Macaca mulatta: one gene and its partners. The protein of the gene in region 1 interacts with the protein of each later gene in a pairwise test. Links are inferred from orthologs where the notes say so. Each region holds a gene or a part of one and is shown in the gene's direction. Other genes may lie near its edges.

Region 1 (5,861 bases):
AGAGTACCAGCCTGGGGGACTCCGACGAGGAGGACACCATGAGCAGGTGTGGCTCCGCACAGCTCTCCCCAGCGCGCCCAGCCCCCTTTCTTCTCCTCCAGTCAATCCTCTGGTTCTTTCTCTTGGCCCCATGACCACTTTGGCCTACGTTTGCTCTCCTTCCAACCTCCTGGCAGGTTCAGCAGCTCCACGGAGCAGAGCAGTGCCTCCCGCCTCCTTAAGCGCCACCGACGGCGGAGGAAGCAGCGGCCACCCCGCCTGGAGAGGGTGAGGGGTTCCCACGGGAAGGCTGGTGCTGGGAGAAGGTGGGGCATAGGCTTTGGTTTGGGTGGTGCCTGGACACTGGCAGCACCCCAGGGTTGACCCTGGGTCATTGAAGGGCACTCTAGCTCCTTCTTTTCCCACCACAGACATCGTCCTTCAGCAGCGTCACAGATTCCACCATGTCTCTCAATATCATCACAGTCACGCTAAACATGGGTATGGGGAGAGCCTGTGGCTAGGGCGTGGGGAGGGCCTGGTCTCTAGGGTTCCAAGGGTCCTGCGGCTGGGGCTCCTCTCCTCACATGGCCTCTCTCTCTAGGGTTCTGGGGGTCCTGCCGCGGGGGCCTCCTCTCCTCACATGGCCTCTCTCCACAGAGAAGTACAACTTCCTGGGTATCTCCATTGTGGGCCAAAGCAATGAGCGGGGAGACGGAGGCATCTACATTGGCTCCATCATGAAGGGTGGGGCTGTGGCGGCCGACGGACGCATTGAGCCAGGGGACATGCTTTTGCAGGTGTGCTGGGGTGTGGCCACCGAGCTGCCCTGCACGGGAGCCCTCAGCCTCTCCCACCATGCCTCTGACCCACTTCCCCTGCTTCCAGGTGAATGACATGAACTTTGAGAACATGAGCAATGATGACGCCGTGCGGGTGCTGAGGGACATTGTGCACAAGCCTGGGTAAGTTGCCAAGCAGGTTGCAGGTCCTCAGTTCTCTTTTTTTCTCTTTTATGTTTTGTTTTGCAATTTTAATAAGTAGTAAGGCGTGGTGGCTCATGCCTGTAATCCCAGAACTTTGGGAGTCCGAGATGGGTGGATCACCAGAGGTCAGGAGTTCGAGACCAGCCTGACCAACATGGTGAAACCCTGTCTCTACTAAAAATACAAAAATTAAGTGGGTGTGGTGGCGCACGCCTGTAGTCCCAGCTAGTGAGGAGGCTGAGACAGGAGAATCACTTGAACCCCAGGGGGCGGAGGTTGCAGTGAACCGAGATCACACCGCTGCACTCCAACCTGGGCGACAGAGCGAGACTCCCATCTCAAAAAAAAAAAAAAAGTGCTGAGACATAACATTCAAAGTACGTGAAACAAATGTGTGACGTATCAATACTAGAGTGAATATCCATGTCACTGCCACTTAGACCATCAAATAGGAGATTGCTGATATTCTAGAACTTCCTCCCCAGATGTCCCTTCCTGCTCCCAAATGCCTCCCTCCCCCAGGGGTGGTCACTCTCCTGACTTCTTTGGCTATCACCATAACAGAGGAGAGCTTTGCCTCACTCGATAGTTACCATTCTTGCATGTATCCTTGAACAGCACGGTTTCATTTTACCTGTTTTTGGTCTTTCTGTGAATGGAATTGTACAGCGTGTACTCTCTTGTCTCATTTGGCAGTATGTTTTTAAGAGTTTTCCATGTTGATGAGTCATCCGCATTGTGGTGCCTTCCACCCTCACCTTCTCCAGCCCAGCCGCGATGTGCTTGCTTCTCCTTCTCTTTGTGTCTCTTAATCCATCCTTGCTTCAGGCCCCCACTCTCCTGAGGCCTCCTCTTCCCCTGCGCCCTTGACTGGACTTCTCTTCCCCGTAGCCCCATTGTGCTGACTGTGGCCAAGTGCTGGGATCCCTCTCCTCAGGCCTATTTCACTCTCCCGAGAAGTGAGTGACACTCAGGGAGGGGGCCTGAAGTTGGGGGTGGGGGCTGGCCAGGAGGCTGGGGCTGGACCTCTGGTCATGGGGAGTGGGTGGGAGGAGGGTCCAGGCAGAGGTGGAACAGGAGGCTGAGTCAGGGAGGGACTGGGCTGGCTTTTGGGGACTGAGAATGGGTCATTTTGGTGCCATCTTTGTCCCAGATGAGCCCATCCAGCCAATTGACCCTGCTGCCTGGGTGTCCCACTCTGCGGCTCTGACTGGCACCTTCCCAGCCTATCCGGGCTCCTCCTCCATGAGCACCATTACATCTGGATCCTCTTTGCCTGATGGTGAGCCACCAGCCCACCGCATCCCACCCTCCCAGCAGAAGGCTGTCCTGCAGTGGTCTGACCCATTGCCTTTGTGGGAGTGATCCCTGACTCTCATTCCCTGTGGTCTCCTCTGCCAGGCTGTGAGGGCCGGGGTCTCTCCATCCATACGGACATGGCATCGGTGACCAAGGCCATGGCAGCTCCAGAGTCTGGACTGGAAGTCCGGGACCGCATGTGGCTCAAGATCACCATCCCTAATGCCTTTCTGGGTACGGCTGGGTCCTGGGCAGGTGGCTGGAGAAAGGGAGGAGGAGGCAGCCAAAGCCGGGAGTGGCACAGGCAGAGGCGAGAGCAGGAGTTGGAAGGAGAACCTGAGGCCTTTTTCCACTGTGGATGCTCCCAGGCTCGGATGTGGTTGACTGGCTCTACCATCACGTGGAGGGCTTTCCTGAGCGGCGGGAGGCCCGCAAGTATGCCAGTGGGCTGCTCAAAGCGGGCCTGATCCGACACACCGTCAACAAGATCACCTTCTCTGAACAGTGCTATTACGTCTTCGGAGACCTCAGTGGTGGCTGTGAGAGCTGTGAGTCCCTCTGCCCCAACTCTGGGAGTGTGGCTTTGCCTGCCTTGTTCTGCCTCTCCAACCCTAGACCTAGCCCAGAAACTGCAGCCAGGGCCACGATGGATGGTCGAGCAGCGTGTGTCCCGCACTAGGTCCTGCATTGGCCGAGGATCGTGGCTGGCATCCATCCATGCGCTGCTGGACAAGCCACGCGCCAGGTGCAGGACTGTGTCCACCGGGGGAAGGTGCACATCCTCCTGAGTCCCACAAAGACATGGGCTAGTGGTGGCCCTGGCTGTGCCCCTGCCCTCATGGCAGAAGTAGATGGGAGTTTCCTGTCAAGAGTCCCCTGTGAACCCCTGTTTTGAGCCCCATCGTGGGTGGGTCTGGGCTCTCCATTCCGTGTCTTGGGGCCTTAGCCTCTTGAAGCAGTGATTTCTTCCTCACTTCCCTTGTTTTCCAGACCTAGTCAACCTGTCTCTCAATGACAACGATGGCTCCAGTGGGGCTTCGGACCAGGACACCCTGGCTCCTCTGCCTGGGGCCACCCCCTGGCCCTTGCTGCCCACTTTCTCCTACCAATACCCGGCCCCACACCCCTACAGCCCGCAGCCCCCACCGTACCATGAACTTTCATCTTATACCTTTGGTGGGGGCAGTGCCAGCAGCCAGCACAGTGAGGGTAAGTCATCCCCACATACCTGTACGGCCAGGGTCTGAGGGTGGATCAGAGGGCAGCCAGGGAGGAGCCTGGGTGAGGACTTAGTTGCCCCTCCCCTCCCTCCACAGGCAGCCGGAGCAGTGGGTCGACCCGGAGTGATGGGGGGGCAGGGCGCACAGGGAGGCCCGAGGAGCGGGCCCCCGAGTCCAAGTCCGGCAGTGGCAGTGAGTCCGAGCCCTCCAGCCGAGGGGGCAGCCTTCGGCGGGGTGGGGAACCAAGTGGGACTGGCGATGGGGGCCCTCCTCCATCCAGAGGCTCAGCTGGGGGTGCCCCTAATCTCCGAGCCCACTCGGGGCTCCATCCTTATGGACCACCCCCTGGCATGGCCCTCCCCTACAACCCCATGATGGTGGTCATGATGCCCCCACCCCCACCTCCAGTCCCTCCAGCAGTGCAGCCTCCGGGGGCCCCTCCAGTCAGAGACCTGGGCTCTGTGCCGCCAGAACTGACAGCCAGCCGCCAAAGCTTCCACATGGCCATGGGCAATCCCAGCGAGTTCTTTGTGGATGTTATGTAGCCCACTGTGGGGCCAGGCTTGGCCTGGCGCTCCTGGTGTGTGACTGGCTGTCCTGGCCATCATGTGCTTGCTCTTACAGTGCCTGGGCTCAGCCTAGCAGCTGCTGCCATACAGGAGATTGTGGCCACTGTGACTCTCACCAGCAGTGCCTGGTTCCTCCCCCTTCCCTCGGGTAGACAAGGGACCTTTGATTATTTTTAGCTTTGTTTTTTTAATAAGTCTTTTTGGGGGTTAAAATAGAGTTTCTTACATTTTTGGGACTTTTTAAATAGGCATTTTCTCTTTTATATGAAAAATCCCGTCCGTTGGGCCCCTTCTAACCCCAGAATGTGACCTCCTCCTCCAGTTACCCATAGCCTTGCCCTGTGCAGGTTTGGGGGTGGTCAGTGGTACCCTGGGGTTAGGCACCCTAGACAGCAGCCTGAGGAAGCTGGGAGATTTGGGCCATGTAGCTGCCTTTGTTACTCTATTTATTTTAGTCACTTGTATAAAACACCAAATAAAGCAATAGAGGCAAACTCCCCACGCCTCTGGCTCCTTTCTTTGGGAGGGAGGCAGGCAGCAGAGGGAAAGAACGGACACACAGGAGCAAAGCATGACTGGTTAGAAATTTTTATTATTTTCGAGGCAGTAAGTGCTCTTGAGAGCAGGCACAGTCCTGGGAATACTAGGCCCCCTCCGGGACAAACCAGGGCCCTAAGGAGAGGGGCTTTGGCTTGAGGAAAGGCACATAACCGGGCCAGGCCCTGGCCAGGAGTATTCAGAAGCCAAGTGGGTTGCTGGTGACCACACCACCCCGCTCCACCAAGGCCTTGGAGATGCTTTTGAAGTTGCGGTAGAGCTCATGCTGCCGGGGGTCAGACTGCAGGGCGGCCATGCCCTCTCGGATCCGGGCTGCAGCCTGGGGAGAGGGAAGGAGGGTTGGGCCTGCACCTCTAGCCCTCACCTGAGCTTAGCAGCCCCGAGTCTCACCTCGATACACCAGGTGTCACAGAGCATTTTCTCATGCTGGGCCGTGTGGTGGCCCTCACTCAGGGATCTTGAAGCCCTGGCAGGAAGCAGGAGATGAAAATAAATCTGGGCCGGCTGGGATCCAGGCCCAGGCCCCCTGCGGCTCAGGCATTCCCCGCCTGCCTCCTCACCTCGAGAGAACCACCACCATGGCATAGAGGTCGATGGCCCCGTCTGCCAGCCGCTGCAGCAGAAACTGCTCATCTGCCGGGTAGGTGGGGTGGGGGTGGGGGCATTAGTCTCAAGGAGAGGAAAGGGAGGGGCGGAAGGGTGTAGAGCTCACTCACTGACAATCCCCTTCTTGTGTTTTATCAACTTGGCCTCCACCACAGTGGCAAACTGCTCCAGAGCCTGTACTGCCTGAAGAGATGGGGACAGTGCAGGGCTCAGAGGGGCTGTCGGCTACAGTCCCTGACGCAGGCTCTCCTGGACCCCTGGCCACTTACCAGCTCACCGCTGCGACTCAACTCCGGGTGGACAATTCCACTGAGACTCAGGCCGCTGCCCAGCCCTGCCCGCCTGAGAGGAAGAGGGAGAATGACTGGTTAGTTGTCATACACTGCCCTGCCCTCCCCTGGCCCTGACCCTAAGCCTACCGCCTTAGCTGTTTGCCTGCCTCTCCCAGCAGGAGGCCAGCATTCCCAAAGGGATTCTTTAGAGCACTGCCAAGCCCAGAGAGCTCCTTTCCTTTGTCCTATGGGGAAGAGGGTCCAGCAGTCAGGACTCACTGTCCTCCCCACCTCTACCCCCACCCAATTCTCCCTCTTACCATACAGCCCTGCAGAGCCACAAACAGCCGAAGGATGTCATTTGTCCCCTCA
Region 2 (6,393 bases), on another chromosome or scaffold:
GCATTAAGCTTTCCATCTCAAAAACAAACAGTTAAAAAGGACACATCTCTTATTCTCTTATTTTAAATGTTTTTTCTATACTTCTCTTTTACAGTCTCTGCATCTAATATTCACCTAAAAGCTTGACTATATATACCTGTACGTTCTAATTTGTTTTTTGTTTGTTTCCTGATTATCTCCTGGCTCTGCCAGGAAACTTCCTAAATTTCAAATGCTGTACAATCCAACAAAATACTAGAAATCTCAAAAGAAGTGTCTACAGATCCAGAAAAGACATTTGCTGAATTTCATACAATGTCAGAATTGGTCAACTATGCTCAGAAACATAGGACCAAGTGTTCCCTAATTTGAGAGGACAAATAAGTAACAACAGAAGAGAAAAAAACATAGATACTATATTTCAAATGATCCTGTTTTAATAATTGTCACTGAAAAACGAAAGTCCGATCCAGATACCAAATCTGTTTCAACAATAATAGCTAGAGACAAGAGAAAAATTTCTTTAAAGTTTTAAAACAGGTGGAAGAAGATCCAGAAATATTTATTCCAAGATTTGTAAGAGGGGATAAAACATGGCTACACTGGATGATCCTGAAGAAAGAGCACAAAACAATGGCTACCAAAAGGTGGCAGCACTCCAGTCAAAGACAGAGAGGACCAGTCAAGGGAAGAGGTCATGGTAACAGTTTTGGGGAATGCTCAAAATATACGACTAAATGACTTTTTGAAGGGCCAAACCATCATTAAATGGGCTTACTAACAGAATTTTTGAGAAAATTAGCCAAAGCATGAGCAGAAAAACCATTATCAGAGAGTTCTACCTAATCATGAAAAAGTTCTTGCTGTTGCATTTCACTGAACAAAGGGCAGTTTGGCAAAAGTTTCAATGGGAAATCATGAGGCGTCCACCTTACAGTCATGATGTGGAACCTGCTGACTTCTATTTCTTTCCTAGTATTAAAAATTCTGCAAACGGCACCCAGTTTTCTTCAGTTAATAATGGAAAAAAAGATTTCATGGAAATTGTTAAGTTCCCAGAACCATCAGGGCTTGAGGGACAAGGTGGGGGCAAGACAGTGCTTGAAAACTGTCTTGAAATTGATGGAGCAGATGTTAAGAAATAAAATCAAACGGTTTTATTTTGGTCTTTTAATCCCAGTTTTGACAAATGTTTGAAAGTCCCCTCACAAAACATCAGTCCTAGGTAAAGAGTTGTTATCCTGTATTGGTTCTTCTTTCTGTGATTTTATCTTGCTGTGTTATTTTCTGTTTTACTCCCAAGAAGACTCAGTCTGCTTTTTTTTTGAATCCACAGATACGGAAACTGATATAATGGTAGGCCAACGGTAGAACTCAGTGGGGTGTGTCGAGGCTGAAATTCACCTAATCAACCTCTGGGGCACAGCAGTCCACCTGGCGTGGACCGTCCCGATTGTCTGCATTGTGCTGACGGCATGAGTACGTATTGGGGCGGGGAAGCCCAGGAGCTAAGAGGGTCAGGGCTAGAGCCGTGAGTGTGGGCCTGCCGTGGGCCATATAAGGCCCAGCTCTGGCACCAGAGCTGCATTCCGTGTAGGACTGCAAACCGCAGAGGTCACTCCAGCTATGGCTCCACATCCCGAGGACTAGAAGCAGGCTTGCTCAGCGGTCTGCAAGGACCGGCGTTCCAGACCAAGTGGCCCGCTGCACTGAGGACTGAGCTTGCTCCAGGCTGTGGTGACTCCACGTCATGAGGCCTACGGTCTGCAAGGACCAGCGACCCGGAACCAGTGGTCCGCTGCTTCGAGGACCGAGCTCGCTCCAGGCTGTGACTCCACATCCCGAGGTCGCTGCCTGGCTTCGTGTCCCGCCGCCCCGAGGAAAGAGCCGAGACCTCCAGGACAGTGACGCCTGCACAGCTCTGGTGAGATGGCAGCAGGATCCATTACGCTGCACGCAGTGGAGAAGCTGCAGGTGTATCTGACCACTAAGATGGACCCGAAAAAGCTAGAGAAATATTTGCAGAAACTCTCCGCCTTGCCCATGACGGCAGACATCCTGGCGGAGACTGGAATCAGAAAGACGGTGAAGCGCCTGCGGAAGCACCAGCACGTGGGCGACTTTGCCAGAGACTTAGCGGCCCGGTGGAAGAAGCTGGTGCTTGTGGACCCAAACACCGGGCCTGATGCACAGGACCCCGAGGAGAGCGCTTCCCGAAAGCGCTATGGGGAGGCTCTTCAGGACCAGGAAAAGGCCTGGGGCTTCCCAGAGAACGGGAAGGTCCCCAGGAGCCCACCTGACAGTCCTGAGCACAGACGGACAGCACACAGAACACCTCCGGGACTCCAGAGACCTCACAGAAGGTCTCCCAGTCGCGAGCACAGAGCCCAGAGAAAGCGCCGCAGAAGGGCCCCAGCTGATTCAGGCCCCCATCGGGCCCCTCCATTGCACACCGCTCCCCTCCCGACGCCCGAGGGCCCTGAGCCGGCTGTGCCCGGGAAGCAACCCGGAAGAGGCCACGCTCACGCCGCTCAGGGCGGGCCTCTGCTGGGTCAGGGCTGCCAGGGCCAACCCCAGGGGGAAGCGCTTGTAAGCCACAGCAAGGGACACAAATCGTTCCACCAGGAAAAATGCCCCTTGTGTGCCCAGGGCGATTGGCACTCCCCTACTTTGATCAGGGAGAAATCATCCTGGGCCCGCTTAAGAGAGGAAACCCCAAGGATGCCCTTCCGGGAAAGTGCCAGGGACAGGCCGTCCTCGGGTGACGCCAAGAAGGACAAGGAAGGGGGACCAGCTGGCAGCAGCCAGCATGTCCCCGCCTTGGTGGTGGCTCCAGACGGTCACCCAAATAGGCCTCATCACAGACACTTGAACAAGAAGATGCCCAGTCTAGATGGCCCGTACCCAGGAAATGGGACACACCGCCTGTCCTCTGAGGAGAAAGAGCAGCTTTCCAACGACCAAAAGACTCAAGAGGGGAAGCCACCAACGGCTCATGTGGGCAGAAGGTCCATGAGCTCCCTCTCTGAGGTGGAGGAGGTAGATATGGCTGAGGAATTCGAGCAGCCCACTCTGTCATTTGAAAAATACCACACTTATGACCAGTTGCAGAAGCAAAGGAAAAAGACTGGGGAGTCTTCCACCACTGCACTTGGAGATAAACAAAGGAAAGCAAACGATTCAAAGGGCACTCGTGTGTCCTGGGATTCAGCTAAGAAATTGCTTCCTTTCGAGGAAAGCCAGTCAGAGAGGCTGCAGGCAGCCGGTGCTGATTCTGCAGGGCTGAAAACGGTGCCCAGCCATGCCTTCTCAGAGCTCTGGGACCCCTCAGAGGCCTGGATGCAGGCCAACTACCATTCGCTATTGGATTCTGACTCCATGACCTCCCAGGCAAAGCCAGAAGCACTCACTGCACCAACCTTCCAGGAGGAAACTGCTTTCACTGGAGGCAGAGTGAATGCTAAGATGCAGGTGTACTCGGGCTCCAGGCCTGCCTGTCAACCCCAGGTGCTGACGCTGCGCCAGCAGTGCATCCGGGTCCTTAGAAACAATCCCGACACCCTCAGCGATGTGGAAGGAATCCCCTACTGGTATCTTGAACCCGTTCTGGAAGGGTGGACACCTGATCAGCTGTATCGCAGAGAGAAATACAATCACGCACTCGCTGGGGACACAGATGAATTATGGAGGATTCATTGTCTCCAGGACTTCAAGGAAGGAAAGCCACAGGAGCAAGAGTCTTGGCGGGAGCTGTGCCTGCGGCTTCAGGACACCCGAGAGCAGCGACTACGAGTACTGACAGCAAATATCCGATCTGCACGTGAAAACAACCCCAACAGCAGAGAGGCAAAGATGATCTATTTCAACTCTGTGGCCAAGACGCCTTATGATGCTTCAAGGAGGCAAGATAAGTCTGCAGGAGCTGCTGAACCTGAAAATGGAGAGCTCAAGCTAGCCCCAAAGCCTGGGGTAAGCAGCCACGTTCCCTCCAGCAGGGGCAGTGACAGTGGTGGCAGAGACAGCAGCAGCAGCAATGTCCTTCACCAGCTCCCTGAGAAGAGGGCCAACCCCTGCCTAAGCAGCAGCAATGAGCGCGTGATGCTCGCGGCCAAAACTCGGAAACAGGCTGCCAAGAAAGTGGCCCCGTTGATGGCCAAGGCAATTCGAGACTACAAGAAAAGATTCTCCCCACGATGAACTCAGGACTTGCCTTGCAGGTAAAATCTGGAGGGAGGAGGACCAATGCAAAGTCAATGCGGGTTGGGGAATGAAACTTCCAATGGACACCAGAACCTTTAGCTTGGTGCAAAGTTGAGCCTTTGAATTCTGTAGGTGTCACGTGCTGGACCTGTGATTTTACCTCCCACACCCAACCACTACCTCCCAGCCTGGAGGACACCTCAGAATTCAGAAGATATGAACACATTCGGAACAATTATCTTTTGGTTGTTCACTGATCGTTTTTAAAATAACACCCTAGTTGTAATCATAAATAAGGAAAAAGATGTGAGATTCCCTTTTTCCTTTCTTTTTTTGGAAATCATCAAGTAGATAAGAACTTATTAGACAAAAATTCACAAGCCATTAGGTGACACTGATAACTCCAAATACATAAACTCTTTATTGTCGTTGTTGTTGTTGTTTTAATAAAACGCTGGGCATGATCCTGTATTCATGACCCATCCTCCTTTGGGAGGCCAAAGAAAGCAAATCGCTTGATCCTAGTAGGTGAAGACCAGCCTGGGCAAAACAGGGAAACCCCACCTCTGAAAAAGATATCAAAATTAGCCTGGCATTGTGGCACACCCCTGTGGACCCAGCTTCTTAAAGGGCTGAGGTGGCAGGATCGCCTGAGCTGGGCAAGCAGAGGTTGCAGTGACCTTTCATCATTCCACTGCACTCCAGACTGGGAGACCGAACCAGAGCATGGCTCAAATAAAACTGCTATTACTTAGAAACAGGAACTATCAGATTTCATAAATGAATGGTAATCACTGGTAAATTTGTCAAGCAAAAATAGTTTCCTGAAGTAACACATAGAATAATTCACAATCTTTTCACCCATAAGCCCTATGAAGGAATGGAAACACCGTAATCAGTTTATTTAGATTCTGAATCAAAAAGTCTAAAGCTGCCAATAAGACTTTCTGATTACCATGAGATGACCAGGTTAACAACCTGCAGTTCAGATCACAGGGGCTTCTGCAAGCTATATTGAACCTTTACATTTTAACAGAGGGCATTTGTTGGCCTCACGCAGGCTGATAATCAAAAGAATGTGTGCCAGCTATGACACACACACACAGATAAAAAGCCAGGAAACAGAGAAACAAGTAAACTGCATTTAAGGAAGACAGGGAAGCATTCGTTCTAGGGAAAGGGAGTTGATCCTATCAGTCACCATACAAAACTCAAAGAAGGCCGGGTGGGGAGCTTCACACCTCTATCCCAGCACTTTGGGAGGTTGAGGCTGGTGGATCACATGAGGTCAGGAGTTCAAGACCACGACGACCAATATGAAAAAATCTCATCTCTACTAAAATAATCATCATTCTAGGACATTGGCAGCTTTGCCAGTATTGCACTAGGGTCCTCTTCGTGAGGGAGCTGGAAGACTGGAAACACAGCACATTTACATATTTGGCCACACACCGAGGAGGGGTAATTCTCAAAAAAGCCTTAACACCTGAATCCTCATCCCCCGATTCTCAGGCTATAATCATTTTCCTTCTTAGAAGACACACACACACACACACACACACACTCACAAACACACACACACACACACACACACACACACACACACACACACACAGAGAGAGAGAGAAAAGTCATGTGAGAATTTAAAAAGTAAGCCAAACCGCCATGGACAGCAGAAACAATAGCTGACATCATAGACATTTCAAATGGTCCTGTTTGCCTCATTCTGACTGAAAGATTAGAGTGGAATTCGGCTGCCCAAACCGTGGCACCAACATCACCTGCAGGCCAGAGCAAGCCTTTCTGAGGAGATTTTAAACAGCCGGTGGGAGCAAGATCCTGAAGCGTTTCCTCCAAGACTGCTAACAGGAGAGGAAACGTGGCTCTGCCGGCAGGATCCTGAAGATCAAGCACGAGGCCGTGGCTACCAAGAGGTGGCAGCGCTCCATTCAAAGCCACAGAGGAGCAGTCAAGAGCAGAGGTCATGGCCACCGTTTGGGGGGGATGCCAGAGGGATTCGGCTGGTTGACTTTCTGGAGGGCCAAACCGTGATCACATCTGCTCACTAGGAGAGCGCTTTCAGAAAGTCAGCCGCCAAAGCTGGAGCGAGAACAGTCCTCACCAGAGAGTTCTTCTCCACCACGACAATGTTCCTGCTCATGCCTTTCACCCAACAAGGGCAGCTGGGCAAGACTTGCCGCGGGAAATCATGAG
Region 3 (6,633 bases), on another chromosome or scaffold:
TTAAGGGTGGACAGGTCAGGGATGGGCATTTCAAGTCAAGAAAACAGCCTATTTAAAGAAACCACAAAAGAGCCTGCCCTCTAAGACATGAAGCTGGAACAGAGGTAAAGACAAGTGGAGGGAGATGATGGTGGAAGAGAAGTACCTGGTCCTAAAGAGCTTTATAACTCACCATAAGAAGTTTGGATTTTATTCAGTACAGCAGGTAGCCTTGCAAAGATACGAGCAGGGGCATGGCAGGCATGCACAACCCTTCTATGGAAGATAGAATGGAGAGAGGTAAAACTGGAGACTAGGATAGTTAAGAGGTTGCTGCAAGGTTAAGACCATGAGAGCTTGGTCAAGAACAGTGAGGAAGCAAGGCACCGTGGCTCATACCTGTAGTCCCAGGACTTTGGGAGGCCCTGGCTGACCGATAGCTTAAACCCAGGAGTTTGAGACCAGCCTGGGCAACATAGTGAGACCTCATCTCTATTAAACATAATAATAAAAATAATTAAAGAACAGTGAGGGTTGGGCGCGGTGGCTCACGCCTCTAATCCCAACACTTTGGGAGGCCGAGGCAGGCGTATCACCTGAGGTCAGGAGTTCAAGACCAGCCTGGCCAACATGGTGAAACCCCGTCTCTATAAAAATACAAAAATTAGCCGGGCATGTTGGCAGGTGCCTGTGATCCCAGCTACTCAGGAGGCTGAGGCGGGAGAATTGCTTGAACCCGGGAGGCAGAGGTTACAGTGAACTGAGATCGTGCCTTTTCACTCCAGCCTGGGCGACAGAGCGACACTCCCTCTCAAAAAGAAAAAAAAAAGAAAAAAAGAACAGTGAGGAGACATGCAGAGGGATGGATTTAAGAGGCATTTATTTATTTAGTCTATAAAATTAACCTGGTCATCAAAGGATTTTATGGGTGACAAAAACTAATCCAAGATGACTCCAAGGTTTCTGGTTTAGGCAACTGTTGAACAGATAATTCACAGATGATAATCCCAAAGGCAGAACGGATATACAAAGGAAATAAAACATGAGAGAATTATGGTATTTGGTTCAGTTTAAGGAGCAGGGTGTTTAGGAGTTACAGGAGGCCAGAAGATGGAACCCTGGGGAAACACCAACATTTAAAGGGGCAGGAAAGGTAGAGAATAAGGGCGAAAGGATTACTCAACATTTTGCTCTCCAGGTTTGCCTGGCTCAGATCTATATAAAGAAAAGGAGCAGGGAATGAAGTAAAACTGTTACAGGAAAGGGGTCCCAATCCAGACCCCAAGGCAAGGTTCTTGGATCTCATGCAAGACAGAATTCAGGGCGAGTCCACAGTGCACAGCAAAAGCAAGTTTATTAAGAATGTAAAGTGGTGAAAGTACAGCTACTCCACAGACAGAGTAGGGTGTTCCCGAAAGAAAGAGAAGGAACGCATCCACCCTAAGTACAACACTTAGTTTATATATAGAATAAAAAAAGATCATGGGGACATGTGCTGTGCTACAAGGGTTTGTGATAAAGGATTAATTACTATATTATGTAAGAATCGATATCTTTATTTATTTATGAGACAGAGTCTTACTCTTGTCGCCCAGGCTGGAGTGCAGTGGTGCAAGCACGGCTCACTGCAACCTCCGCCTTCCCAGATTCAAGCGATTCTCCTGCCTCAGCCTCCAGAGTAGCTGAGATTCGAGGCATGTGCCAACCACACCCGGTTAATTTTTGTATTTTTAGTAGAGACGGGTTTCACCATGTTAGCCAGGCTAGTCTTAAACTCCTGACCTCAAGTGATCCGCCCGCCTCAGCCTTCCAAAGTGCTCGGATTACAGGCGTGAGGCACTGTGCCCAGTCCATTATTATCTTTAAAGCAAAATTAGGAATGCTTCTGTTCTCAAAATATCGAGATATCTGGACACTTCGAAGTCTGGGTCTGTTTAGTAAACATTATCAATCTGTTGCCTTAATGGTATACATCTAGAGGCTAGGAACACCTAACTTTCCGGGAATGCAGCCCAGCAAGTCCCAGCCTCATTTTCCTAGCCCTCACTCAACACAGAGTCGCTCTATTTCGAACCCCTCTGACATATTCTCTCTCAGATGTGAAAACTGCTGCAGCAGCTCCCTATTTGCAACACCGCACATGGAAATCACAGCAATGGACAGCCCTTCACAAAAGCTTCTGGGGAGGGAGGGCCTGGTGGCTCAACTCCCGTAATCCCAACCCACTGGGAGGTCGAGATAGGTGGATCCCTTCAGCTCGAGTTCTAGACTGGCCTGGGCAACGTGGGGAGATCCTGCCTCTATTTTTTTAAAAAATTACATATATATATATACACACACACGTATATATGCATACATATATACATATATATAATGCTTCTGCGTTGGCAATTCAGATGATTTGGCGAGTGTGTCTTTTTTCATTGCTAAAAACCTGTCACGTTGGCTCTCAGAGACTTGTGATGCCTGAAGACACAGGTAATGGGAAAAAGATCAGCATTCTGGGAAAAGGTTCCACAATTTTATTAATCATACACCATCTGTGTCCGCCCTTTTAGAGAAATGGGCGCAATCAGACAACGACCTCGGCTTTACACCTGTTCTCCATGAGGCCCTAGTTGTTTCCTACTGTAAGCCGCCCCAGAAAAGCTCCGCATCAATTAACCCACGGGAACAGCCCGGGCTGGATGATGCCCCTGGAATCCAGCCTCCCGCCGCGCCTCCTCCCCCGCAAGCTGTTCCTTCCTGCCTACCGGAAGTTCAGGGCTCCGCCCACTTCCGCAACTCTGAAGCCACCGCCGGAAACACCTGGCCTCAGCCAATAGTTAGCTTCCCAGGAATCGTTACCTCTGACCTCGGGGCTAATCAGAGACAGTGGGACGCACCCCTCGCGAGAGGTGAGGTTGAAGCTGCCTCCGCCATCTTGGAGATGGGAGACGGGCGATGGCTGTGGTCCTTCTGCTAATGCAAACAACAAAACGGGCACACTAGTCACCCCAGAGGGAGGCCACCATTACTGTAACTGTTGGCCAAAGCTACAAAAGAGCGAGGGTGTCCAACCGAGCGCGGCGACACTGAAAGCAGCTTCCCCTGCCTTCTGCGGCGGCAGAAGTGAAGTGCCTGAAGACCGGAAGGATGGTGCAGTCCTGCTCCGCCTACGGCTGCAAGAACCGCTACGACAAGGACAAGCCCGTTTCTTTCCACAAGTGAGGACCCTGCGCGCCTCGCGGGGCCGGTCTTAGCCAGGGTGGGGGCGCGCGACCGGCGGGGCCGGGGGCGGAGCCAGGCGCGTGTCCGCGCGAGGGGCGGGTGGGGTCTGGGGCCGGCCGCGCGAGGCGTTTCCCGCCGCGTCCTGCTGGGAACCGTCGCCCGATCGCGCGTTCTCGGCGCGCGTCTCCGCGGCGGTTGTTTCTTGCGCTCTCGGAACAGGTCCTCGTTGCAGGCTTCGCTCCAGGCCTCGGTTGACGAGTTTGGAGCCCGCGGGCGATGCCTATGGTGGCGCGGGTTTTGCCGCCACCAGGGTCACGAGCAGCCAGGTGTTGTAATAACGTCTTAGGGGTAAATTTGAAATATAAACAAAGGCCTTTCCCTTGTCGTGGATGGGAGGCCAGCATCGTAGCAATTAAGGGTTTTTTGGCTGGGAAATCCCGGAGAATTTTTGCCCCAAATCTCTAGGAACTAAGCTTTAAGGACCCTGAGTTTTGAAGAAAGCTTCAGGTACTGCCAAGATAAATCGTTATCTTTTCAGCACACAATAATGATAATATGGATAGTTACAACATGGATCATAATAAAATGACTCACACTGATCTTTATTTATTACGGCATTACCTGTGCATAGAGGAAGCTCTTTCGAAAGAAACTGCCCCACAGCTTTCAGAGCTGTCTTATCCAATAGGTAGCACAGTTAAGAGTGCTAGGATCAAAAATATTCTCTTGAAAATAGGAAAAAAAGTGCAAAGTTGCAATTACTTATGATAATCAAACGCTTGTAAAATGTGACATAACATTCAGCTGAATTTGTTTACAAATTTTAATTACATTTATGTTAAGTTTTCTTTGTAAGAATTCCTGACAACTATATGCAGATGATAGCTAAGAAATCAGATCCAGGGGTAAACTATACAAATTAGTCATAGGTAATTAGCTAATTATCTTTTATAATTAGGTAATTACAAAAGCAAAATGTTAAATATCCTTTCAATTTTTTTATTTTGGTGTGGAGCCATCTATGTTTACTAGGGGAGTGTCCATGCATTTTTTAAGTGTTTGATATCATGTGAGATGGACCCTATAGAAATAAGAGAGTGTAGAACATAGGTCTCCAGAGTAATGATGTTACCCCTTGGCGAAGGGGGTAGAACACTTACAGGATTCAGTTCAGGATATCCTAATATTGTCTCTTAATTTAATTGGAATTTCTGTAAACATGTTCTTTCGAAATGTAGGAAAAGGTCAGGTGATGGTAACAGGATTACATGTGCAGCTCCCCACCCACATTTCTGATGGCATGGCAGAAGGAATCTAAAATTATGGAAAATGTTTCACTGGCACTGGAAACAAGTTTAAGGAGGGTATTCACACGTCAGAAATAACTGTGTTTTTGGCCAGGCACAGTGGCTCATGCCTGTAATTCTCAGCACTTAGGGAGGCCTAGGTGGGCAGATCACCTGACGTCAGGATTCAAGACCAGCCTGGCCAACATGGCAAAATCCCGTCTCTACTAAAAATACAAAATACAGGCGTACGCCTGTAATCCTAGCTACCTGGGAGGCTGAGGTAGGGGAATCGCTTGAACCTGGGATATGGAGGTTGCAGTGAGCTGAGATCTTGCCCTGCACTCCAGCTTGGGTAACAGAGCCAGACTCCATGTCAAAAAAAAAAAAAAAAGAGAGAAATAACTGTTTCTGCTAGGTGTTAAACACATACGGATTGAATCAAAAGAAGAGCTAACCTGCATCTTATCCCTTATCTAAAAGAGCAGGTTTAGGGAGAGTAGATGGGAAAGATTTTAACAGAATCTCACAAACAGCTGTAAATTTGTGGTCCTTGTGCCAGGAGGCCCTAGGTACTGACTGAATTTTAGCAGCAAATGCTACCATAGTTTATGCTTACAGAGCCAGGAGGCCATAGGTACGGAATTTTACCAGCAAATGCCACCCTAGTTTATACGTATAGAGGCCATTTCCAGCTGAGATTTTCTTCTTCTCTTTTTGAGATGGAGTCTTGCTCTGTCACCAGGCTGGAGTGCAGTGGCACGATCTCGACTCACTGCAACCTCTGCCTCCCCGGTTCAAGCGATTCGCCTCAGCCTTCTGAGTAGCTGGGACTACAGGCGCGCAACACCACGCCCAGCTAATTTTTTTTTTTTTTTTTTTTTTTTTGAGACGGAGTCTGGCTCTGTCGCCTGGGCTAGAGTGCAGTGGCCGGATCTCAGCTCACTGCAAGCTCCGCCCCCCGGGTTTACGCCATTCTCCTGCCTCAGCCTCCCGAGTAGCTGGGACTACAGGCGCCCGCCGCCTCGCCCGGCTAGTTTTTTGTATTTTTTAGTAGAGACGGGGTTTCACCGTGTTCGCCAGGATGGTCTCGATCTCCTGACCTCGTGATCCGCCCGTCTCGGCCTCCCAAAGTGCTGGGATTACAGTTGTGATTACAGGCCACGCCCAGCCCCAGCTGAGATTTTCTAGGAGTACCACTTATCCCACCGTCTGCATAGTGGCAGCAGAGAGTGCTATGTTGTACAAAGAAAAGGGACTGTCATAAAGATCTCTTACTAGCAGAGTCAGGCTCTAGCATATTGTACATGGAAGAGAAAACTGTGAAACGTAAATTCAAAACCCCCTTCCTTTGTTTTTTTTTCTAATCCCCCCAGTTTACCAAATCCTTAATTTGGAAGAGTAAAACCACAATAAATTTAAACTCTCACTATCCCCGTTTACCTGGGCCTAATGGACATCCCAGTTGATTAGAAAATAAATACTTTTCTTTCATTATTATCTGCCTTTAATTCAAATTTAGCCTGTTCGTATTTGTCAGACTGATGCTAAGAGAACTAGAAGCCCCTCTTTCCCAGTACATAGATACAAATGTGCAATGTTTGTCTTCCTGTGCAGCACACAGAAAATTACTGGTAAAAATAGAATACAGTTTTTTTCTTTTTGAGACAGGGTATGGCTCTGTCACTCAGACTGGAGTGCAGTGGAACCATCTCAGCTCACTGCAGCCGTGACCTCCCAGGCTCGAGGAATCCTCCCACCTCAGCCTCAGCCTCCCAAGTACCTGGGCACATACCACTATACCCAGCTAATTTTTGTATTTTTTGTAGAGACAGGGTTTTGCCGTGTTGCCCAGGCTAGTCTTCAACCTCCTGGACTTAAGCAGTCTCTTGGACCTTGGCCTCCCAAGTGCTGGGATTACAGACATGAGCCACGGGCACATTTATTCTATAGTATGTATTTTACTTGAATCTTTTGGTGAACTCACTATAAAAAGTTAAACATTAATAAATGAGGGCCCAGCGCAGTGGCTCACGCCTGTAATTCCAGCACTGTGGGAGGCCAAGGTGGGCGGATCACGAGGTCAAGAGATCGAATCCATCCTGGCCAACATGGTGAAAGCCCGTCTCTACTAAAAGTACAAAACTTAGCTGGGCAT
Region 4 (5,831 bases), on another chromosome or scaffold:
AATCACAGAATAAATGCTACAAAGCTAGAAGACTTTGTTGCAGATGATCCCACATGGTCTTTGGGAGCTGTGCCAGTCAGACATGTGTAGGCCCAAGTAGGGACTGGAATGAGAAGGTTTGTTCAGGGGCTGATGGTTCCCTTCTTTTTCAGAGATTCTAGACTTTGGCTATCCACAGAATTCCGAGACAGGCGCGCTGAAAACCTTCATCACGCAGCAGGGCATCAAGAGTCAGGTACTTGAATTGTGCAGACTATAGTCAGGGTGCAGGCCAATCTCCCTTCATCTCAGCTGGCCCCTGAGCCTTGTCTGAGCTGACTCATAAGCCCTCCCATAACAGGAAGTGCTGGCCTGAGCCTCCTGCCATGATTGCAGGCCTATTTTGCTCTATGTGGTCCTCCCACTGCAGGAGCAGCCAATTAAGCATCTCTGTTACCAGGAATACAGCTCAAGCAGTTTCCTTTTGCACTGAGGGTTGGGGGAGGAGGCCTGGTCTTGAGGCCTGGTGTTCCTCAGGAGGAGAGAGCTTGGGCCCTCTCCTATAGGATCCAAGCCTCATAGCTTTCTCCTCCTTTTCTGCCTCCCTTGCTACTTCATGTGGGCACCTCGTTGGCCCTGCGGCCTCCAGCATCAGGTAAGCCCTTCCCTTAGCTTCCGCCCTTGCAGCTTTGCTTTGTTTCTCCAGGCCCTGCCCTTTGGGGCTTATAGGGGAAAATGGATTACAGGTGGGGACTAGAAGGGATGGGGAATGAGGGTGGAGTGGGGATAGAGACAGGATGATTAAAGGGAGAGGGGAGTGAGGCTCTTGCTGTTTGTTTCTGCTCCCATGTAGACAAAAGAAGAGCAGTCACAGATCACCAGCCAGGTGACTGGGCAGATTGGCTGGCGGCGAGAGGGTATCAAGTATCGCCGGAATGAGCTCTTCCTGGATGTGCTGGAGAGTGTGAACCTGCTCATGTCCCCACAAGGTGAGGTCCCTCTCACAACAAAGCTGGAGGGGGACCAGGGCAGGATCCTGGGTCTGCCTGCCTGACTCTGCTGCTCCCCATTTATCTGTTCCATCATCAGGGCAGGTGCTGAGTGCCCATGTGTCGGGCCGGGTGGTGATGAAGAGCTACCTGAGTGGCATGCCTGAATGCAAGTTTGGGATGAATGACAAGATTGTTATTGAAAAGCAGGGCAAAGGCACAGCTGATGAAACAAGCAAGAGGTGCCTGAGGCAGGAGAGCTGGTGGGAAAGGGTGTCTCTTGGAGGGCTCGGTGGGGTCTAGTGAACCACAAGTTTCTTCTGGATTTCATTCCCACTGTAATTGCAAACTCTGTTCCTGACGGTAAGCCTGGCTGTTCGCTCTTGACATTGGTGCTAAGAGAGATGAGGGGACTGTCCTCAGAGCAAGCCCCTTTTTTTGGTCCCTAGGACCAAGGCCTCTTCTGTACATACTGATAGCCTCCTCTGCCCAGTGTGCCTGAAACACCCAGGTCCCAAGCAGCAGGGCCCCCAAGAGATGAGTTTACAAGGTTTCCCTCTCATCCCAAGCTCTGGGGCAGACCTCTGAGTCAGAAAGCTGCATTCTAGCAGCTTTTCATAGTCTCTGGTGCCAGCCTGGGGTGGAGTGGTCTCCCAGCGTGACACCTGTCATTCTCCTGTACCAATGAGACCTCCTCTTCTGCCCCTGCTTGCAGTGGGAAGCAATCAATTGCCATTGATGACTGCACCTTCCACCAGTGTGTACGACTCAGCAAGTTTGACTCTGAACGCAGCATCAGCTTTATCCCACCAGATGGAGAGTTTGAGCTTATGAGGTGCCATTGGGGTGTGAGGAGGCAGCCAGTGCTGCTGGCAGATTGGGGAGAGGAAGTGGGTCAGCTCTTTGGTAACCTTGCTTCCCATCCCTTAAGGTATCGCACAACCAAGGACATCATCCTTCCCTTCCGGGTGATCCCGCTAGTGCGAGAAGTGGGACGCACCAAACTGGAGGTCAAGGTGGTCATCAAGTCCAACTTTAAACCCTCACTCCTGGCTCAGAAGATTGAGGTGAGGACAGGGGGCTTGGGGAGGAGGAAGAACTTGTCCCTAGGAATAAAGGCAGCTGATGTCACAGCTTGACAGAGCTCCCTGACAGGTGTGTCACTTCTAGGTGAGGATCCCAACCCCACTGAACACAAGTGGGGTGCAGGTGATCTGCATGAAGGGGAAGGCCAAGTACAAGGCCAGCGAGAATGCCATCGTGTGGAAGTGAGTCTTTCCTTCATTAGGCCACAGCAGGTTCAAGATCCCAGTGTACCCTCTTGTTTTCACCTTTGATCCTTCTGAATGAGGGGTGGGGGAGTGTGCCTCTTTGCTTTTCTAGGAGCCTCTGCTTGTACTGTCAGCCTTTATGCCTCCATGTGAGTATGTACACGCCTGCATTTGGGTTCATGCACGTGCTTATTTTTTAAGATGCTTTGGCATTTCCCTGCTTGCCTTTGTAATGTATCTGTGAAGCTGACAAAGCAAAGATAGCATGCCCAAGTGTCTAGGCAGAAACTGCATCCTGTTGTCCTAAAGAAGTAGACCCAAGCTTCCATAGCAAGTAGTTAGCAGGGTCCTGACCACTTCTTGTGGCACCTCCTGCAAGCTCCTGGGCGTGCTCCTTAAAATGGGCAACTGCCCTTGAAACTTCTCCAAGCTACAATGGGCTGCCTGTTGTCCCTGTGTTCCTAGGATCAAGCGCATGGCAGGCATGAAGGAATCGCAGATCAGCGCAGAGATTGAGCTTCTGCCTACCAACGACAAGAAGAAATGGGCTCGACCCCCCATTTCCATGAACTTTGAGGTATGGCAGAGGAGGGGCCTAAAGTCATGCCAGGGTATGCTGGAAAAGCTCTTAGAGATCATTCCGATAAACCGCTGCACCTTAGAGGTGAGGAAACTGAGGCCTAGAAAGAACTGGCTTTAATTCATAGATCCATTCTTCCCCTTTCAAGCCTCTTAGTAGAAGTTACTATTCATAGTGAGGCAAATCTTTCACTTCTCTTAGCTTGTCCTAACACAGTTCTTTCGAAAAACTTAGATTGTTTAAATGCCAGGTAAGACACAAAGTTTACTTACAGACAGGATAATGGACTGACTTTGCTTTGTGCATGTTAGACATAATTTTCTCCACCTTATTTTTAAGTTCATAATATTGAGCAGGATAAGTATGTTCTAAAGCAGTTCATTGGTTGCTGTCTCCTGCTGATGAAAGGAACTGATTCCGGGTGTCACTGGCAGGGCTTTCTTCTTCAGCCACCTCTTAGAGGGTCCCTCACCACCCCAGCTTCTTTAAGGACCCCAGCCATTCAAACACCTGTAGTAGAGATGAAGTAGAGCAGGGCAACGGGACTTCCCAGAGGAGAGCAGCTGTAAGAGGAAGGCCACATTTCTAACGAGCTGTCCTTGCCCAGGTGCCATTTGCGCCCTCTGGCCTCAAGGTGCGCTACTTGAAGGTATTTGAACCGAAGCTGAACTACAGCGACCATGATGTCATCAAATGGGTGCGCTACATTGGCCGCAGCGGCATTTATGAAACTCGCTGCTAGCTGCCACTAGGCAGCTAGCCCACCTCCCCACCCACCCTCTTCAACAGGTCCAGGTGCCGCTCCCTCTCCCACCACACATCAGTGTCTCCTCCCTCCTGCTTTGCTGCCTTCCCTTTGCACCAGCCCCTGAGTCTAGGTCTGGGCCAAGCACATTGCAAGTGGGACTGGTGGAGTAGCCCCTGGGCTCCCTGGACAGGGAAGTTCTGAGGCTCCTGCTCTCCCCTCCACCTGTCTGTCCTGGCCTAGTGCCAGGCTCTGAGTTCTGTGACCAAAGCCAGGTGGGTTCCCTTTCCTTCCCACGCCTGTGGCCGCACCTCTGGAGTGGGAGGGTCGGTTGCACCCCTCACCTCAGAGCTCTCCCAAAGGCCAGTAACGGATCCCCAGCCCTCAGTCCCTAGTCTGCTTTGGGATAGTGTGAGCTTCATTTTGTACACGTGTGACTTCGTCCAGTTATAAACCCAATAAACTCTGTAGAGTGGAGTTGCTGGCTAAGTGTTGATGTGGGAGCTACGTGGGGAGGGAACTGGTGTTGCTCTCCCCGCAGTTTTCTGTTCTGAATACTCTAAAAGCTCTTTCCTTGTCTTGTCCCAGTTAGGCGTCTCCTGGGCCATCCAAGCCCCTATCCTTGTGGGTTTTGGGCCCAGGTTTTCTGGCTCCTCTAAGAAAGCCTCAAGGGCAAGCAGCCTCAGCAGGCCCCAGTACCCTGGGGGTAGATCTTTCCCTAGCTCTTTTTTATTCCCCCTGGTCCTCGGACTCCTAGGCTCAAGAGATCTTTAGCCTAGGATCCAGAGGCTGCCTCAGCCTCTGGAGTAGCTGGGATTACAAGCACGCGCCACCACAGCACCCAGCTCTTTCTCTAATTCTTAGGCAGATGTTTTCTAATTAGATTAGGTATAGATTAAGTGAAGTTTACGTTTGGTCTTATAGCCATCCTAAGAAATTGACCTTTTAATTCCATCATTTACCCATGCTTCCCAAATCTTGCTGAGTGGGTGGTAGGAGGAAAGATTTGCAAGCAGAATAATACAATGGACTGGGTGCGGTGGCTCACACTGTAACCCCAGCGCTTTGGTAGCCGAGGTGGGTGGATCACCTGAGGTCAGGAATTCAAGACCAGCCTGACCAACATGGAGAAACCCTGTCTGTACTAAAATTACAAAATGAGTTGGGCATGGTGGTGCATGTCTGTAATCCCAGCTGTTCGGGAGGCTGAGGCAGGAGAATGGCTTGAACCCAGGAGGTGGAGGTTGCAGTGAGCCAAGATCGCGCCATTGCATTCCAGCCTGGGCAACAAGAGTGAAACTCTGTCTCAAATAAAAAAAAAAAAATATATATATATATATATATAAATGCATCTCCATGTCTCATCACCGAACTTCAACTATGATCAATGTGTGACCTGTTCCTTAATATCACATCCAATCTGTGTTCACTAACCAGGTGTCTTACCAAATTTTTCCAGACAAGGTTCATTGTGGTTGGCTAATGCTTCTCAAATTTTAAAAATCGATGTTTCCCTTCAGGTCTTGCAATTTTGTCGAAGAAACCAGAGTTCTGTAGTTTGCCTGTTGTCCCCAAGAAGTCACTTAACATATTCCTCTTTACCTGTATTTCCTGTAAAATGATTCAGTATCCGGATTGACTCCTCATGATGGCAGTGTTTAATCCAAAGGGGTGAATGGGTAATATAGTTTTCGGTGCCACTTTTAGAGAACCATCGGAGGAATATTTACGATTTAAATGTAAAGCAGTAGCGTCATTTTGGAGGAAATTCCTAACTTCCTGAGGGAATCGGTGAAAGGAAATAGCCTTTTACTGGCATTTACTGAGTGCGGAGAAGTCTGCTTTGGGTGTATGTAGGGAATAATTTATACAGGCCACATTGTCCTGGTTTTCTTGCCCTTTGGCGGTGGATTTGGTCGTGCCCTGGAGTGGTGGAAGAACTGAATTGGCTTAATTCACAAAGGTCGGCTGAATTATACAGTGTGAAGAGGCAAGTCGCGGCGGGGAGGCGGGTGGCGCTGGCAACCAGGCTGACGAGCCGTAGGGTCTGAGGACCCGCGAAAGCAAAGCACTGAGCAGGGGGCTTCTGAGAGGGACCGGGGTGAGTCAGCAAAGCTCTGGGCGGGCTCCAAAATGGACCTGGCTGGGTGCGCAGCAGCAGCAGCAGCAGCAGCAGCAGACGCGCCTCGAGGGAGCGCATAAAACCTGGCAAAGCCAAAATACTTTATCAGCCGCTTGCCTCTTGGGAGGCTCCCATCCGCCAGACC
Region 5 (5,960 bases), on another chromosome or scaffold:
AGACTGGTGAAGAAAGTACTTGGCAAAATTCTTCAAAGCCACATCATCATGGTCAAAGTAGTAAGACATGACAGGTAGATGTAGGAGGCGTAGAACTCCAGGTTGATCTGGCGGTTGATGGTGGTAGTTCTGGCTCACCTGCGAGGGGGACGCAGTCGTGGTGGCAGTGGCTGCGTGGCAGTGACTGCATGGCGCTGGACTGGCGACGGGGGCCTTGGGACCGTCAGAGGGCCCAGTGAGGAGGTGACAGAGGGCTAGCTATGGGCGGCCAGCCGGGGTGGGGGACAAGAGCCCGGTTCCGTCCAAGCACTGTTGAACCAGGAAACCCCGGCGACTCTCCGCAAAGAATGTCTCATTTTTTCTTTTTAAAATAAAAAAAAAATAATAAAATTTTGTACATGAATGAAGTCCTTGGGGATCTACATCTATAAGACTTGTTTCTTTTTTTTTTTGAGATGGAGTCTCTGTCATCCAGGCTGGAGTCCATGGCACAGTCTCGGCTCACTGCAACCTCTGCCCTCCGAGTTCAAGCGATTCTCCTGCCTCAGCCTCCCAAGTAGCTGGGATTACAGGCGCCCGCCACCGCGCCTGGTTAATTTTTTGTATTTTTAGTAGAGACGGGATTTCACCATCTTGGCCAGGCTGGTCTTGAACTCCTGACCTCATGATCCACCCGCCTCGGCCTCCCAAAATGCTGGGATTACAGGCGTGAGCCACTTTGCCCGGCCTCTTGTTTCTTTTTTTTTTTTTTTTTTTTTTGAGATGGAGTCTTGCTTTGTCGTTCAGGCTACAATGCAGTGGCGCCATCTCTGCTCACTGCAACCTTCACTTCCTGGGTTCAAGCGATTCTCCTGCCTCAGCCTCCCAAGTAGCTGGGATTACAGGCATGCACTACCACACCTGGCTAATTTTTGTATTTTTAGTAGAGACGGGGTTTCACAATGTTGGCCAGGCTGGGCTCGAACTCCTGACCGACCTCAAGTGATCTGCCCCCCTTGCTCTCCCAAAGTGCTGGGATTACAGGCGTGAGCCACCATGCCCACCCTATAAGACTTGTTTCTGCTGCCTCTCATGCTCAGTGGCTTGTTTCCATTTCCTTGTGTGTGTCTAGTATTCTTTAGTATTTGAGCCCATGCTTAGAGCTCAAATCTGTTTTTTTTTCTTACCCCACTTTGGAGATTTTTTTCTCATTGGAGATTTTGCCTTGCTTATTGACAGCCCAACAATACATTAAAAATTTAATAAGTATCTAGTTAAATTATAGTGGGAACATCTCTCCAAGTATTTCATCTGCCAAGTCTATATATAGAAATATCTGGTCTTATTGTGAAACTTGCCCCTTCTCTTTTTTCCTCTCTCATTTAACAATATATTAGATATCTTTCTATGTCATGATCTCTTTCTTTTTCATGGCTGGGAAGTATTCCTTTGTATGAATAGATAATAATTTAACCATTCTACCGTTGCAGGACATTAAGTTGTTTCCAGTTTTTTTATTATGAAATTACAGTAAACACATTGATATGTATGTGTTTGTGCGTTTCTGCTAGTATTTCTGTAGGATTGATTTCTATAAGTGGCATTAGTGGTTGATGAGATTTTGATTAAATACTGTCAAATTGACCTAAATAGGCTATGCTAGTTTATACCTGTACCAGCAGTGACTGAAAATACCCATTTTCCTGTGCCTTCCTTTTTGACTGTAGATATTATTGATCTTTTTAATTTTACTAATTCAAGGAGAGAAAATTCATGTTTCTTTTAGAATTTGATGCATTGGTTATTAGGTTAAGCATATCTTCATGCATTTATTGGACATGTATTTCTTTTTTCTTTTTTTTTTTTTTTTTTTTTGAGACAGGGTCTCTGTAGCCCAGGCTGGACTGCAGTGGTATGATCATAGCTCACTTCAGCCTCGACCTCCTGGGCTCAAGTGATCCTCCCACCTCAAATTCTAGAATAGCTGTAATTTTAGATTACAGGTGCATGCTGTCATGCCTGGCTGATTTTTGTATTTTTTGTAGAAGTGGGGTTTTGCCGTGTTGCTCAGGCTGGTCTAAACTCCTGAGCTTAAGCAATTCTCCTGCCGTGGCTTCCCAAAGTGCTGGGATTACAGGCGTCACCCACTGTGCTCGGCCCTTGGACATTTATTTCTTCTGAAAATTGTTCATTTTTCTTTCCTTTTTTATTTTTGAGACAGAGTCTTGCTCTGTCATCCAGGCTGGAGTACAGTGGTGGAATCTCAGCTCACTGCAACCTCTGCCTCCTAGGTTCAAGCAATCCTCCCACCTTAGCCTTCTGAGGAACTGGAACTACAGGCATGCACCACTGTGCCCAGCTGATTTGTGTATTTTTAGTAGAGACGGGGTTTCACCATGTTGCCCAGGCTAGTCTCAAACTCCTGGGCTCAAGCGATCCATTGCCTTGGCCTCCCAAAGTGCTGGGATTACAAGTGTGAGCCACTGGCACCTGGCCATTTGTCAGTTTCTCTGTTGAATTGTTTCTTATTGATATAGTAATATACAGTAGTCCCCCCTTATCTGTGGTTTCACTTTCTACATCTGAAAATATTAAATGGAAAACTCCAGAAAAAAACAACTCATAAAGTTTAAATTGGTCACTATCCTGAGTCATTTGGTGTAAACTTGTGCTGTCCCACCAGGAACATGAATCCTTCCTTTGTCTGGTGTATCTGTGCTGTATGCGCTACCTGCCTGTCCGTCACTTAGTTGTCATCCTGGTTATCAGATAACTGTTGCAGTTTGCAGTGCTTGGATTCAAGTACCTTTATTTTATTTAGTAGTGGCCCCAAAGTGCAATAGCAGTGATTTTGGCAATTAGGAAGGCTAAAGAGAAGCTGTAAAGTGCTTCCTAAACGAAAAGATGAAAGTTCTCAACTTAAAAAAAACTTTTCAAATCCTATATTGAAGTTGCTAAGATCAATAGTAAGAATGAATCTTCTATTGTGAAATTGTGGGGAAGGAAAAAGAAATTCATGCTAGTTTTGCTGTTGTATTTCATACTGTAAAAGTTACAGCCACAGTTCATAAGTGCTTAGTTAAGATGGAAAAGGCATTAAATTTATGGGTGGAAGATGTGAACAGAAATGTGTTACGTTTGATGGCAGTCAGGTTCAGTACTATCCGTGGTTTCAGCCGTCCACCATACTTAGAATGTATCCCCCTAGGACTACTGTCTGGTTTGTGTTGCAGACATTTTCTACCAGGCTGATTTTTTTTCTTCTTTTCTTTTTTTTGAGAAGGAGTTTCACTCTTGTTGCCCAGGCTGGAGTGCAATGGCGCGATCTCGGCTTACTGCAACCTCTGCCTCCCAGGTTCGAGCGATTCTCCTGCCTCAGCCTCCTGAGTAGCTGGGATTACAGGCATGTGCCACCACAGCCGGCTAATTTTGTATTTTTAGAAGAGATGGAGTTTCACCATGTTGGTCAGGCTGATCTGGAACTCCTGACCTCAGGTGATCCGCCTGTCTCGGCCTCCCAAAGTGCTGGGATTATAGGCATGAGCCACCGTGCCTGGCCTAGGCTGATTTTCAATGCTGTCATTTTCAAGAAATCATGGTATGTTTCTCCATTTCTTCAGATCTTTAAAAAGCCTCTATTTTAATGAATTTTTACAGATTTCTTCTTATATGTCTTTCATGTTTCTTAAGTTTATTCCTAGGTATTGAATTTTTTTTTAACTGTGGAAGTAGGATTTAAAAACTGTTATATTTTCATTTTTGGCATGAGAGAAAGCTAGCTTCTTTCTTTACATATCTTGTACCTGACTACTTAACTCTTAGTTCTATTTTCTGTATATTCTTCCCTGTAAGTTTTCCCATAGTTACCTTTGTTGTGAAAAGGAGGAAATTATTTTTCTTTCTCCTTTCTGGACTAAATAGTCTCTTGTTTTTAGGGCTCTGGACCTGGGCTTGTGCTATTAGGGCTATGGTTGAATAGCAGCATGGGATATCATTTTTGTGGCCTTGCAAGGGAACATAACCACCAGACATAATCTTATTTCTGTGGGAAATGTTGTTCTAAATGCCAAACTCCAAATTACAAAAGACCTTTTGAATATACCTCATTCAAAAAGAACAAGATTTGGGCTGTCTTTAGATTGTGCACTGTGTTAAAATTACAGAATCTGTTTGAATTTCAGGAGCGTGAGGATCATCCCCGGAGAGGACGGGAGGATCGGCAGCACAGGGAACCATCAGAACAGGAACACAGGAGAGCTAGGAAAAGTGACCGGTACAGACACCGGGGCCATTCCCACCAAAGGAGAACGTCTAACGAGAGACCTGGGAGTGGGCAGGGTCAGGGACGGGAGCGAGACACTCAGAACCTGCAGGCTCAGGAAGAAGAGCGGGAGTTTTATAATGCCAGGCGACGGGAGCATCGCCAGAGGAATGACATTGGTGGTGGCGGTAGTGAGTCTCAGGAGTTGGTTCCTCGGCCTGGTGGCAACAACAAAGAAAAAGAGGTGCCTGCTAAAGAAAAACCAAGCTATGAACTTTCTGGGGCACTTCTTGAGGACACCAACACTTTCCGGGGTGTAGTCATTAAATATAGTGAGCCCCCAGAAGCACGTATTCCAAAAAAACGGTGGCGTCTCTACCCATTTAAAAATGATGAGGTGCTTCCAGTCATGTACATACATCGACAGAGTGCGTATCTACTGGGTCGACACCGCCGCATTGCAGACATTCCTATCGATCACCCATCTTGTTCAAAGCAGCATGCGGTCTTTCAATATCGGTAAGTAACATGGAGGAAGAAACTCTAATGTGAGCAGAAACAATTGCTCAGTTAGTTAGGATTACTAAGATTTTTGTTCATACATATACAGAAGAATCCCATACCCCTCATATCTAAAGAGTATTGTTAATCTAACTTCCCTTTAAATAATTGTTTACATATTTATAAGAACATTATACTTTTAATCTATTTTTTGTTTTTTTGTGACAAGGTCTCACTCGGTCACCCAGTCTAGAGTGCAGTGGAGCAAAGACAGCTCACTCCAGCAACCTCTTGGGCTCAAATGATTGTCTCCCACCTTGGCCTCCTGAGTAACTGGGACCATAGGCATGTGCCTCTGTGCTCTACTAATTTTGAAACTGGTTCTTGATAGCTTGCGTGGGACATCTGTGATGATTCTCACAACAATCCTGTGAGAAGGATAGGACCGGTTTTTGGTTTTTTGTTTTTGTGAGACGGAGTCTCCTTCTGTGCCCAGGCTGGAGTGCAGTGGCGTGATCTCAGCTCACTGCAACCTCTGCCTCCTGCGTTCAAGCGATTCGCCTGCCTCAGGCTACCGAGCAGCTAGGAATACAGGCGCACGCTGCCACACCCAGGGAATTTTTGTATTTTTAGTAGAGACAGGGTTTCATTGTATTGGTCAGTCTGGTGTCGAACTCCTGACCTCGTGATCCACCCGCCTCGGCCTTCCAAATTGCTGAGATTATAGGTGTGAGCCACTGCGCCTGGCCCATTTTTTGTTGTTGTTGTTGGTTGTTGTTTTGTTTTGTTTTAACATGGTCTCCTGACTTTGAATGGACAAGTATTTATATCCCCATTTGACAGATGAGAAAACTGAAGCCCAGCAAAACCAAGTGACTTGCCTAACAAATGATCACTATAGTACAGTGGTCCCCAGCCTTTTTGGCACCAAGGACCGGTTTCATGGAAGACAGTTTTTCCATGGAACCAGGGACATGGTTTCAGGATTCAAGTGCATTACATTTATTGTGCACTTTATTTTCTTTTTTTTTTTTTTTTTTTTTTTTTGAGACGGAGTCTCGCTCTGTCGCCCAGGCTGGAGTGCAGTGGCGCGATCTCGGCTCACTGCAAGCTCCGCCTCCCGGGTTCACGCCATTCTCCTGCCTCAGCCTCCCGAGTAGCTGGGACTACAGGCGCCCACAACCGCGCCCGGCTAATTTTTTGTATTTTTAGTAGAGAC

The links.
Region 2: the proteins of DVL2 (region 1) and ELOA2 interact in a two-hybrid assay, tested with the Homo sapiens proteins (2 studies listed by BioGRID and IntAct). The two-hybrid records come from large-scale screens. The link is inferred for Macaca mulatta from reciprocal best matches to the Homo sapiens genes DVL2 and ELOA2.
Region 3: the proteins of DVL2 (region 1) and THAP1 interact in a two-hybrid assay, tested with the Homo sapiens proteins (2 studies listed by BioGRID and IntAct). The two-hybrid records come from large-scale screens. The link is inferred for Macaca mulatta from reciprocal best matches to the Homo sapiens genes DVL2 and THAP1.
Region 4: the proteins of DVL2 (region 1) and AP2M1 interact in a two-hybrid assay, tested with the Homo sapiens proteins (2 studies listed by BioGRID and IntAct). The two-hybrid records come from large-scale screens. The link is inferred for Macaca mulatta from reciprocal best matches to the Homo sapiens genes DVL2 and AP2M1.
Region 5: the proteins of DVL2 (region 1) and SNIP1 interact in a two-hybrid assay, tested with the Homo sapiens proteins (2 studies listed by BioGRID and IntAct). The two-hybrid records come from large-scale screens. The link is inferred for Macaca mulatta from reciprocal best matches to the Homo sapiens genes DVL2 and SNIP1.

What each region holds. Positions count from the first base shown.
Region 1 is NC_133421.1:8,710,374-8,716,234, reverse strand, and holds the end of DVL2 (segment polarity protein dishevelled homolog DVL-2), read left to right. Parts: coding exon 1-46; intron 47-176; coding exon 177-267; intron 268-410; coding exon 411-480; intron 481-639; coding exon 640-779; intron 780-867; coding exon 868-944; intron 945-1,856; coding exon 1,857-1,924; intron 1,925-2,118; coding exon 2,119-2,247; coding exon of another isoform or gene 2,248-2,265; intron 2,266-2,327; coding exon of another isoform or gene 2,328-2,366; coding exon 2,367-2,498; intron 2,499-2,632; coding exon 2,633-2,812; intron 2,813-2,943; coding exon of another isoform or gene 2,944-3,009; intron 3,010-3,254; coding exon 3,255-3,473; coding exon of another isoform or gene 3,474-3,494; intron 3,495-3,557; coding exon of another isoform or gene 3,558-3,580; coding exon 3,581-4,029; 3' UTR 4,030-4,551; downstream 4,552-5,861. Other genes in the region: ACADVL (very long-chain specific acyl-CoA dehydrogenase, mitochondrial), read right to left, coding at 4,790-4,930, 5,002-5,077, 5,172-5,244, 5,328-5,400, 5,487-5,559, 5,637-5,734, 5,810-5,861.
Region 2 is NC_133423.1:45,344,150-45,350,542, forward strand, and holds ELOA2 (elongin-A2), read left to right. Parts: upstream 1-1,908; coding exon 1,909-4,176; downstream 4,177-6,393. UniProt on the Homo sapiens protein: SIII, also known as elongin, is a general transcription elongation factor that increases the RNA polymerase II transcription elongation past template-encoded arresting sites.
Region 3 is NC_133413.1:44,940,774-44,947,406, reverse strand, and holds the start of THAP1 (THAP domain-containing protein 1), read left to right. Parts: upstream 1-2,894; 5' UTR 2,895-3,114; coding exon 3,115-3,185; intron 3,186-3,311; exon of another isoform or gene 3,312-3,465; coding exon of another isoform or gene 3,466-3,515; intron 3,516-6,633. UniProt on the Homo sapiens protein: DNA-binding transcription regulator that regulates endothelial cell proliferation and G1/S cell-cycle progression.
Region 4 is NC_133407.1:96,315,822-96,321,652, forward strand, and holds the end of AP2M1 (AP-2 complex subunit mu), read left to right. Parts: intron 1-152; coding exon 153-235; intron 236-628; coding exon of another isoform or gene 629-634; intron 635-832; coding exon 833-968; intron 969-1,068; coding exon 1,069-1,210; coding exon of another isoform or gene 1,211-1,219; intron 1,220-1,683; coding exon 1,684-1,803; intron 1,804-1,899; coding exon 1,900-2,035; intron 2,036-2,138; coding exon 2,139-2,236; intron 2,237-2,704; coding exon 2,705-2,816; intron 2,817-3,426; coding exon 3,427-3,561; 3' UTR 3,562-4,035; downstream 4,036-5,831.
Region 5 is NC_133406.1:203,253,796-203,259,755, forward strand, and holds part of SNIP1 (smad nuclear-interacting protein 1), read left to right. Parts: exon of another isoform or gene 1-620; intron 621-4,160; coding exon 4,161-4,759; intron 4,760-5,960. UniProt on the Homo sapiens protein: Required for pre-mRNA splicing as component of the spliceosome. As a component of the minor spliceosome, involved in the splicing of U12-type introns in pre-mRNAs. Down-regulates NF-kappa-B signaling by competing with RELA for CREBBP/EP300 binding.